3 linked regions of the Cricetulus griseus genome follow. The protein of the gene in region 1 binds, or shares a complex with, the protein of each later gene. Links are inferred from orthologs where the notes say so. Each region holds a gene or a part of one and is shown in the gene's direction. Other genes may lie near its edges.

The links.
Region 2: the proteins of Plxna2 (region 1) and Sema6a are in contact, whole or in part, in a crystal structure (PDB 3AL8), measured with the Mus musculus proteins. The link is inferred for Cricetulus griseus from reciprocal best matches to the Homo sapiens genes PLXNA2 and SEMA6A. Residues at the interface, in NP_032908.2 of Mus musculus: Ala93, Cys94, Tyr95, Pro96, Lys155, Gln192, Asp193, Tyr194, Asp220, Phe221, Val222, Pro229, Ser230, Asp231, Leu386, Lys389, Val391, Thr394, Lys395, Ala396, Pro397, Val398, Leu407, Asp408, Ile409, Asn410, Gln411; in NP_061214.2 of Mus musculus: Arg108, Met109, Lys110, Gly111, Met162, Ala163, Thr188, Phe190, Leu191, Ile193, Tyr198, Thr206, Arg208, His212, Asp213, Ser214, Glu219, Gln266, Arg267, Glu270, Lys271, Lys393.
Region 3: the proteins of Plxna2 (region 1) and Nrp1 are in contact, whole or in part, in a crystal structure (PDB 4GZA), measured with the Mus musculus proteins. The link is inferred for Cricetulus griseus from reciprocal best matches to the Homo sapiens genes PLXNA2 and NRP1. Residues at the interface, in NP_032908.2 of Mus musculus: Asp273, Leu274, Phe275, Glu306, Lys341, Gly342, Gln343, Lys344, Gln345, His348, Pro350; in NP_032763.2 of Mus musculus: Glu78, Arg80, Asp81, Lys83, Tyr84, Asp126, Tyr127, Glu128, Thr129.

Annotation. Positions count from the first base shown.
Region 1 is NC_048598.1:480,006-483,653, reverse strand, and holds part of Plxna2 (plexin-A2), read left to right. Parts: intron 1-617; coding exon 618-857; intron 858-1,287; coding exon 1,288-1,431; intron 1,432-1,752; coding exon 1,753-1,987; intron 1,988-3,648. UniProt on the Homo sapiens protein: Coreceptor for SEMA3A and SEMA6A. Necessary for signaling by SEMA6A and class 3 semaphorins and subsequent remodeling of the cytoskeleton. Plays a role in axon guidance, invasive growth and cell migration.
Region 2 is NC_048595.1:190,732,510-190,736,189, forward strand, and holds the start of Sema6a (semaphorin-6A), read left to right. Parts: upstream 1-805; 5' UTR 806-1,444; intron 1,445-3,680. UniProt on the Homo sapiens protein: Cell surface receptor for PLXNA2 that plays an important role in cell-cell signaling. Required for normal granule cell migration in the developing cerebellum.
Region 3 is NC_048596.1:205,238,306-205,241,953, forward strand, and holds part of Nrp1 (neuropilin-1), read left to right. Parts: intron 1-678; coding exon 679-834; intron 835-2,945; coding exon 2,946-3,112; intron 3,113-3,648. UniProt on the Homo sapiens protein: Cell-surface receptor involved in the development of the cardiovascular system, in angiogenesis, in the formation of certain neuronal circuits and in organogenesis outside the nervous system. Mediates the chemorepulsant activity of semaphorins.

The DNA of each region.
Region 1 (3,648 bases):
AGGCTCATCTTACCACTTCCTGCTCCACACCACATACTACACTCCACCCCACCCCCACCACACACAGACTCTCTCACTGCAACTGTCCTTTCCTTCAAACATTCTTACATCCTCAACCCCAGATCTTTTCATTGCTATCCTCTCTTCCTGAAACTGTTCCTGCACTGCCCCTTTCTGGCTGAGGTAAGCCTCCCATTCTTCAAATGAAAGCATTCACTACTACTGAGGGAAATCCTTCATGAATGCTGCTTCAGGCCATGCAAACTCACAGACTTTCCAGAACATCTGGTCCTTCCCATTCATGCATTTCACAGTATTGTGCCCTATGCTGCTTCAGGCTCTCTGTGGACTAGCTTATAATGCTTGTTTAATTAATCCAGAGCTGTCCCTCGAGACTACTTCATTCTGTGCACCAGACTCTCAGCCCAGTGTCTGCCAGAAAACAGGTGCTCACCGCAGTGTTAATGAATAAATGAGTGGGGTTAAAGGCATCCTCACCACATTGGTCTGGAAGGACTCACATCTAGTGAAGGAAGTCGAGCAAACAGAGGGTAAGAGGAGATGAGAGACCCACCTTCACCCACCTGGTGCTCAGAATGATGCTTTCTGCCTCCTAGGTGTGTACAGTGGTAAACACAACCACCCTCACCTGTCTGGCACCTTCTCTGACCAGTGACTACCGTCCAGGCCTGGACACGGTGGAACGGCCAGATGAGTTTGGATTTCTCTTTAACAATGTCCAGTCCCTACTCATCTATAATGACACCAAGTTCATCTACTACCCCAACCCAACTTTTGAACTGCTCAGCCCCACTGGGATCTTGGATCAGAAGCCAGGCTCACCCATCATCCTGAAGGTAAGAACACCAATGGAGAGGAGGGGCCTGGATAGTAGGGAGAGAGTGCTGTAGGCCCTTCCCGATTTAGGAGGCCAAATCTCCAGGTGGTAGCATCCAGTTTTGTTGCACCCCACCCTTAAATCCCATGTGACCTCCTTCCATCTTTATTTGTCCAGTTTTGTTTCTCCTCTTCCTTTCCTCCTTCCCCAAACATCCCCCACTGCATTTTTCACTTTTCTTTGCTTTTTTGTTGTTGTTGTTTTTGTTTGTTTGTTTGGTCTCCTCTAATCTGTGGCTGGTTGAAGTATCCTTTAAAAACCTAGCATGGAGGCATTTATTGGTTTTTGCTTTGCTGCCCCACCCTGTCTCCTTTATATCTCTTTAAGTAGGCAATTAATTTCTGCTTGCCTATGCCAATTCTTCTCATTAAGACACCTGTTCTCTACAGGGCAAAAATCTCTGCCCTCCTGCCTCTGGAGGGGCCAAACTCAACTACACAGTAATGATTGGAGAGACGCCTTGTGCAGTCACAGTATCTGAGACACAGCTACTCTGTGAACCTCCCAACCTCACCGGACAACACAAGGTCATGGTAAGTGAACCATCTTCTGTCTCCTTCCTCTGCTCAGCCTTAACATACAAACATGATGAAAGATTCCATTTCATCTCATTACCTGACTCATGACCTCCATATTTCCTCATCTCCATGTCCTACACCAAAAAAGATAGCAGTTGGGAACACATAAATAGCAAGACAGATGCCAAGGTAGAAACTGTGTAGTATCCAAATATGAACTGTAATGTTAGAGTCTATCCTGTCATTCTTCACACTGTAATACTGTAGAATAATGACAGCATGCTGGGGCTTTACACCTGTGTGCACTGTATATGTGTCTGTATGTACAATGCACAGGTTCACGTGGGCGGGATGGTGTTCTCACCTGGCTCGGTGAGTGTCATCTCCGACAGCTTGCTGACCCTGCCAGCCATCATCAGCATTGCAGCTGGTGGAAGCCTCCTCCTTATCATCGTCATCATTGTCCTCATCGCTTATAAACGAAAGTCTAGGGAAAATGACCTCACACTCAAGCGGCTCCAAATGCAGATGGACAACCTGGAGTCCAGGGTAGCACTGGAGTGCAAGGAAGGTGAGTACAAGTATATCCTCACTTCCTTTTTCACTAATCTCAATACCCTCCTGACTTTATTCCGATCCTTTCCCCACAAGCCTTTATATTCTATTCTTTCCCAGGAGCTTCCCCTGTCCCCAGGGTTAGAGCAGACCTAGGGGGAGACTCACGAGTGAGGAAACGGGTCCATTGACATCATTCACTGTCCCCACTCTACCCCAATTCAACCTGCCCCACCCCCTCAGGACTACTGTGCCATCACAGTCGAGTTTGCCAGGCCTTACTGTCTCAGACCAGATTCTTTATTTGCCAGTGTCTATCCCTTTGCTAATATTCACAGAGATACCTTTACACTATATGGAAGCCACAGCAGGGAAAGTAGGAGAGCCCCACCTCTGTCCTGGCCCATCATCTCCAAGGATTTGTTTTCTATCACTATTGTAGACTAAATGTTCCAAAGGCCATGCTTGCTGGCAGCCTTGGGTATGAATATGTGTAGGAGTGGAGATTGTGTTTTCTCTCATCTCCCACGCAGACACATCCACAGAGTGACAAGTATACCTGGCATTCTTTCGGGCTGAGGACCTGGCAGGCTGTCTGGGTAAACATCTCAATTAGGAATCAAAACATTTTTTTTTTCTTTTGCTGCATGTGGCTTTTCACTAGCAAGCAACTGTTGGACAATGGGGAAAAATTGTACTGGAAGAGTTGGCTCAGAACCTTCCTGTTAGGGAGAGATCTTACTAGGTACCTGGGGCACTGACCATGTTTGTTTGGGCATGGCCACAGGTGCATGGGGGCGGGGCATGTGGGATATAGGCCTGGGGAGAGGAATTGCCCAACCTGGGAAGCCAGGGAGACACTTGGGAGCCCTTCACTGCCTGGACTGTGGGATGAGCATTTGATAGCCAAGGCTCTTCAGGGTTTTTACTTCTCAGTCATCTTCTTGCCAGGGGAAAAGGATCAGTTTGCTTATTCTGACCTTTGCTGAACTCCAGCAGTTCTCCTCTTGCCTCTGACACCTACAAAGGGCCTAAATCATGATGTTCTCTTCTCTATATTTTAGCCACCTCTACAAAGGTAGAAGTAAAAAAAAAAATTACAGATAAGCATAGAAGACCCTAACCCTAACCCTAACCCAGATTCCATGTGCTATCACAAATCCTAGGAGGTAATCACTTAGTAAAAAGAAAAGAGGCAGGCTGGGAGACAGCTCAGTCACATGCATGAAGACCTGATAATGATTCCTGTAGCCCACATAAAAATATGGCAGGCATGTGGTGTGTGCTTATAATTCCAGCTCAGAAAGCAGAAACGGGAGGGTCTCCAGCTAATGAAACCCTGTCTCAAAGGAAGTGGACAGTGTCTCTGAAGATGTCACATATCTGTTCACCTGCGCGCGCGCGCACACACACACACACACACACACACACACACACACACACACACACACACACACAATTTTTTAACAGTTATTTTGTCTCAGCTTGGAAATTTTCTGTGTACGATTAGTCAGTTCTGTTGCTAGTAGGCCTATGCTGAGGCTGCATAGTGGTTAAAGTACATAGCCAAGTAAAGATGGAGATCCAGAGTCCCATGATCCCCTTAAAGCACACCCCCAACCCCTGAGATCTTCCCCAGGTTCCACCTCTTCAAACTTTTACTGCACCTCCCCAACC
Region 2 (3,680 bases), on another chromosome or scaffold:
TCTAAAGTTTACTCATTTCTAAGTAAATGCTCTAAGACGGACTTTGAAACTAAGACGTTTTCAAGCCGATCGCGGTCGTTAACCACGTTCTCAGCACCGTAGTTTATATGTTTATTTAACGTGTGCTATAAACGAGTGCGTGCGAGAAACTAATTTTAGCCACACAGTCTTGTATCCAATTCATCCGGGCAGGAAGAAGGTCCATCACTTCCAGAATCTACCTCCTGATACAGTAATCAGAAATAGAAAGGTTCGCCGTCCCTTTAAAACTTTTCCATTTAAGAAAATCGATGGACAAACTCTTTCTTGTAACTCGCTCCTCACTGTCTATTTTTATTTATTTTTCTGATTTGGCAGGGCTCAGCAATGCTGTCTGGGCTTTCTTTTCTTTTTCTTCTCTCCCCCCACCCTCTTTTTTCCCCCTTCTCTTGCTAGAGCAGTTGTGGGGGTGGGGAGACGAGGGCTGAGGGCTGGGCTTCTCCTGGAGTCGCCCCTGCCGGGACCTCCTTGGTGCGCGCCCCGGGGCGGAGAATTGAGGTGGTTAGAAGCGGTGCTGGCGACTCAGTCCAAAGCTCTACCTGCAGCCACGCGGCGTCAAGTCTCCCTTTCCTTTGGCTTATTCGCACTGTCTCCATCCCTCTCCCTCCCTCTCGCACACACACCACAGCTCTCCTTCGGGTCGGAGACGCCAGCCCAGGGAGGCGGGGTTGCTGGAGGAGAGTCCTCTCTGTGTAATCCAGTCCGGGACTTGGCTCCGCCCGGAGCGTCGGCCTCTCCGGTGACACTGGAGTAGTGAGCCGCACGGGGTGAGGCTGCAGCCAACTCCGCTCCCCACGCACTCGGCTGCCTAGGCGCTCGGGACGCAGCACAGGCGCTTCTCCGCGGTGCCGACTGCCCGAGATGCCCGCCTAGGAGCGTGCGGCCGCGGCCAGCGTCGCCACACCCGGGACACTGAGCTCGGGGTTGCAGAGCCGGCCAGAACCCTGCACCTCTTCCTCAACCCCCACCCCGCCCCCCGCCCTGAAATGACTAGTTAATGGGCGCTGGCACCGCTGAGGGGGCTCAGAAGTGAATCCAAGTGGAATTCGGATTTGGAAAAGAGTTTCTTGAACATTTGCCCTGGTTCTCGCTGGCTTTTCTTCCTCTGTTTTTTTTTTCCTTTTTCTTTTCTTTTCCCTTTTTCAATTTTTTTTTTTTTGCCTTCCCCTCCCGTCCTCTTCTGCCATTGGAGATGAACACAGCTCGCTTGCATCCTAGAAAGTAATCGCCGTGACTGTTGCCCCCAAAGAGACAAGCACACATGTAGGAATGACAAAGGCTTGCGAAGGAAAGAGCGCAGCTCAAGGCCCAGAGAGATCTTCTCGATAATGGATTACTAAATGGGATACACGCCGTGCCAGTCCGCTCCGAGCCGCGGCCGCCTGCCCGTCGATGCACCGAAAAGGTATGGCCCTAGCGTCCCTGAGCGCCCCACCTCCTGGATCCGGGCTAGGGCGAGGGTCCTGGGGTTACCCCAGGTGCGCGTTGTGGGCTTTGTAGAGCCTGTGTTGTATTTGGTCTTATGTCTCTGTCTCCCGAACGTTGTCCCTTCCTGGGGGAGTAGCCCCAAGCCCTGCCTGCAGCTCTTTTCAGTCCTGAGCCCCAGAGACTCCGGGCTCCATGTCAGGAGCTTCCCCACCCGATCGCACACAAGACCGGCGCCGCCCCGGACCTAGACCAAACGGATGGCTGTCCTGCCCAGCGGTGTGTGTGTGTGTGTGTGTGTGTGTGTGTGTGTGTGTGTGTGTGTGTGTGTATGACCCGAGGCTAAGAGCTCACTCTTGGGCCAGTAGGGAGGAGAGTGGCCCTGGAGGGTGGGATTTTCAAAAGCGCCGGGTCCTGGTGTCGAATGCTGGGGAAGGGAAGGGGTCCTGCCCTCGAGGGCCGGAGAGGCTTGGGGAGTACAAAGCTGTTTGTGTCCAGCCACAGGTTTTGGTTCTGGTGTGGGAGAAATGGTTGTGCGGGGACGGTGGAGAAGAGATGAGGATCTTTTGTTATCAGTGTGGGGTCTGGGCTGGGCTCCGTGGAGTGCGTGAAACTTGTAATGGCCCTGAGCATCTGCGCGCCCTCTCTCTTGGTGGGATCCACTCTTCAGTCGCCGCTGGCACCAGAGAGAGGTTCCTGGCTTTGTTAGCTGGAGTAAGTGCCTAGGAGCGGTGTCTTGGTATGGCGCGGCGCCCCCGCCCTAGGTCCTGTCCCCTGCCTCAGCTCCCACCCGAGCGAACAGGGCACCATTTGTCGCAGCTGCGTCTCTCTCAAGCACTGAGCTATCCACGCTAAGGCTGGCCCCTGCTGCGCCTTCCTCCAAGACCTGTGCTGTCCCTCTCGAGAAAAGATGTACCCCGGGAGAGAGAAGGGTGGGGAGACCTGGCAAGAAATAGCACTGGGCTTGCCACTCTGATGAAAGCTCTGCCGGGCTGCAGATTGTTGGGTGTCCTGTCTGCTTGTTGTGTCCTGGAGCTCTATCTCTGGAGCTGTGGGGCGCCCGAAGCAAGCTGGGCAGTTCCCTGTTAGTGACCCTACTGGGTGGGCAGTGTCACTTTTACCCATCGCTTCGTTTTTCTCAGCTCCCCACGGAGGGAGACGGTATAGACCAGGATCCTGAGCAGTCAGTCTGCTGTCCGGATCGTGCGTGTGTCAGGAACGGAAACCGGACCCCGACATTTTTCCCGCTCGCTCGCCGCCCCTTTCCCAGCGCCTCCTCCCCTTTACAGTGCAGGGCCCCGTACCCAGCGCTTCTGGAAAGTTTCTGTGACAGCTAAAGACTGCTGGAACCACCAGACGAGGGCTCAGAGCGTTCAGTCTGACCCCGAGCTAATTGAGCGAATAACTGGGATGTGACTAGGAGCTAGATTGCCTGTCCACTGGAGAACAGCACCTTCTCTGGCCCGCTGCACTTGCTGTACTAGGATCTCAAGCAGATGGAGAAGGCCTGGGGGGCCGGGATTGGGACTGTCGAATTCGGGATGCTAATGTGATCTCAAGTGGCGGACAGAAGCTGCTGTGAGGGCATGTGTGGACACTGGCTCTGGCTCGCTGGCTCAGGAATCTCTAGCTCCAAGTGCAGCATCCTGTACCTCCTGCGCCAGTGGCAAGACATTGCAGCTCGCACATGTCCAGGGAGGAGAGGAGCAGGGCCAGGTGTTGGTGGAGTGGAGGAGGGAGGAACGATTGGAGGCGCTGTCCTCCTAGCCTGTGCGAGCTTTTCCAGCGGCGGCCTCCAGGCTGTGGGGAAGTAGGCAGTCCTGCCGGCAGTTCCGCCTCAGACTGTGCAGAACGATTGTGGCTGCCTTCTCGAGAGTGTGGTGACCAAGCACAGCCACAGAGGGATCGCTCCCTATTTACTCTGGATGAAATTCGAGTTACTACTGAATGGGATCCTTGAAAGACTTAAAATACAGGTGAACCTGGGGACACACTCACACACACACGCACGCGCAAACACACACACTGTATTCATAACTTTGCCATTTAATTCAGTTATAGTCTTCTATTGTGAATCTCAGAAAAAGCTGTCATTTAATGCCAATCTGCTCTGGTTTTTCATGCTTTTCTCGGGTAGGGAGGTCGAGTATCTTTGCCTTGTTTTTCCTTAATCCTGCTGATTTAGGCTTTCCTTCCTCTGGCGGACTTATATTTTG
Region 3 (3,648 bases), on another chromosome or scaffold:
ACCCCTCGCTCTGGTGTATGTGTATATGTACCTGTGTGTATCATTTCTTACTAGTCATCCACTTTGCTTTTGTTTCATTTTGATTTTACATGTATGTGCATATGTTCTGTGTGTGTATGTATAACATGTGTTCTCATGTGTGTGAGTGACTGTGTGTTTATGGGTCCACAGGTACATGTGGAGATCAGAGGTTGACACTGAATGTCTTCCTCTATTGCAAACTTGTCTCTGTTTGCAATCTCTCATGGAATACAGAGATCACTCACCAACTTGTGCTTGGGATCTCTGCCTCTGCCTACTGACCTTTGGGCTTACAGCTGGGCTACCATACTACACCCTCCCTGTTTTGTGTGTAGACACTGGGGATTTGAACTCTGGTCTTTGTGGCATTGAGCCATCTCCCCAATGTGTTCCATTCCTGAGACGAACCAGGCTGGCTGGGGGGGGGGGGGTGCTATGATTGTGCCTGTGAACGCCTGGCTGAGCATCTTTCCAAATCCTCTCCAGTCCTCCAGTATGAGCTCTATTCACCCATTAGCCAGGAGAGATTTGTATTAGGCTACAACAGTCTTTGTGTTCTTCTGAGGTCTTCTGAGACTCATGCTTATAAATGGTTATTTTTGTATCTTCTGTAGAAGAAAGGACAGTCTGATATTCTCTGTATTTCTGCTTTTCCAGTTGGCCCTCACATTGGGCGCTACTGTGGGCAGAAAACACCTGGTCGGATCCGCTCATCTTCCGGCATTCTATCCATGGTCTTTTACACCGACAGCGCCATAGCAAAGGAAGGTTTCTCAGCCAACTACAGTGTGTTGCAGAGCAGCGTCTCTGAAGGTCAGTATGTATTCATCTCACAAAGCCCTATAGTAAACACTGCCCATTATTTCTCATACACCTGAGGCCACACAAAGCACTAAAGAAATGTTCTGTGAACTGTGGTGCCCACTGTTTATCTTTCTCTGGAATAAAAAAAAAAAACTTTCTGTGTGTGAGTGTCAATTGGAAAAATGTCATTTGGTGTATTTCCTCCATAAAATTATCTGTGAACCTCTGCAGTTAGGGAAGCGGAAAATGACTGAACACTACATGGAAACAATGAGGGGTGACTGGGAAGCTTCCCTGGCACCTCAAAGGCACAGGTGTCAGGAACCACAAAGCACAGTTCCAGGCAGAACCAGCTGGGGGTAGCTGATACACAGAGGGTTGTTGGCTGTAGGTGACCCTGGGGTCTCATTACCATTTTCTTACAAAGTTTTTTTTTTTTTAAAGTAGGATGTGTAAAAGAATGTTTTTATTCTTTTACATTTTAAGTCAATTAATTTATTATATGTATATGCGTGTGTTTGAGACAGACAGACAGACAGACAGACAGACAGACAGGCATCAGTTCTCTCCTTTCACCAAGTGGATTCTGGTGACAAAGGCTGTTACCTGCTGAGCCATCTCACCAACTATAATTTTTTTTTTTTGAGAACAGATTCTCACGTATACCAGGTTGGCCTAAAACTCACTGTATAGCCAAGGATGACCTTTAACTCCTGAGCCTCCTGCCTCTAACTCCCAAGTGCTGGGATTACAGGTGACCTGGACACAAAATATTAGGGTTAAACCTAGGACTTGGTACCTGCTAGGTAAGCATTAAACCTGCTGACCTAATCTGTAAAAGGAGAATATTTCAATTTGTCTTACATACCTTTCCAATAAAAAGAGTAATGTATTTTTAAAGACTTTATTAAAACGCTCAGGGCATGGTAAATAGCTCAGTGGTAGAATACTTGCCTGCAAAGCAGGAGTCCCTAGATTCAAGTTCCAGCATTGCAACCCCTCTGCACAACAGAGGAATGAAATGAAAAGAAAAATCACTGACTAAAGTTCATGTGGCTAGGGGTTCTTTTGAAGGCCAGGTGGAAAAAAAACCTGTGTCTCATTGCTTTTGCTGACCTGCATAGCCAAGCTGCTGTTGTTTTCTGCCCCATATCTGACTGGGAAATGAAAAGGAGAATGAAATCCAAAATGTGTTTACACTTAACTTATTTGGCTAGTCAAAAACTTATCTGTTAGGACGCAAATTTTAGAAAAATGTGAAATTTCTATTGCTGGACATACTGGTCAGCTTTCCATTGATATAACAGACATGAGATTTTCAACTTAAGGGAAAAGATTTTTTCTTTTCCCTTCTTTTTAATTTTTAATTAGTTTTATTTTGACACATGATCTCTGGCTTCCAACTCAGTGTGTAAGGATAGCAATGAACTTCTGAAGGTCAGAAGTTCAGGATGCTGGGATTACAGGTGGTATGCCCCACCACTTCAAATGACGAAGTGCTGGCATGCCACCTATGTGGCTCCATTCATGCTGCACAGGCACTCCATCACCAAACCGCATCCCTACCTCAGAGAGCATTTTGTCAACCTTAGCCCACATGGGAGTATTAAGAATAACTGTGCTGACATTCATAGTCTTACTTTTAAAGATCCATATTCAGGAAAACATAATTATAGGTGACATGTTCCAGTAATCCCATGTTGCATATTTTGCCAGGTTTTGTTAATGAACTCTGTTTCTCTCTCTCTCTCCTCTCTCTCGTCTATCGTGTGTGTGTGTGTGTGTGTGTGTGTGTGTGTGTGTGTGTGTGTGTGTGTGTGTGTGTGTAGGCCTGAATTTGACATCAAGCTGTGTGTCTTCCTCAGTCACTGTCCACCGTATGTGTTGAGACAGAATCTCCCAATGAATCTGGACTATGAATTGGGCAGACTGGCTACCCAGCAAGCCCCAGGGATCTGACTGGCAGTGTTGATATTCCAGGCCCAGCTTCCATTTACTTGGGTGGTAAGGACCAAATGCAGGTCCTAACACTGAATCATCTCCCCAGGCCATTTGTGAACTCCTTAGTTTGCCACATTAAATTTAAACTATGTTTTTGGCCCTTTATAATTTGTCTGCAGATTTCAAGTGTATGGAGGCTCTGGGCATGGAATCTGGAGAAATCCATTCCGACCAGATCACAGCATCCTCACAGTATGGCACCAACTGGTCTGTAGAGCGCTCCCGCCTAAACTACCCTGAAAATGGGTGGACTCCCGGACAGGACTCCTATCGGGAGTGGATCCAGGTAGGTGGAACAAGGCTGGGCACAGCTGGGCTGGCCTCTAGCAAGGCTGTCAAATAAAAATGGGTGCGATATCAAACACAGGAAAGAGCCCTGAACACAAATCAATCCATGAAAATGATCATACTCACACAGAGAGAGTAGCAGAGCTGGCCTCACTCAGGTGGCCCCCAGAAAACACTCTTTTCTTCTCAAGTCCTTTTCACTGCTTTTTCCAAGTCTGAGTAGATGCCTCACTTCCATCACAAATAGAAGAAGATAAGATGCCCCCCTCCGCAACGACTACACGTTCACTCCTATTCTGCCACAGTTCTATGTCATTGATAGAATATAGGAATTCTGTCTGTAGGGCTTGTTTGAGATATTTGCCTGCAAGTATTGGCTTTTTGGGTTGATTGGAGTAGAGCATGCAAAATACACATGTTCTGTGTAGCTAATTGAGGGCATCTGCTGGCTTGTATTCATGGACACGTATGGAATCCTCATATATGCATCTTCATTAGTGATTCTGTTGCTCCTGCTTTTACTAGGCTCTTATA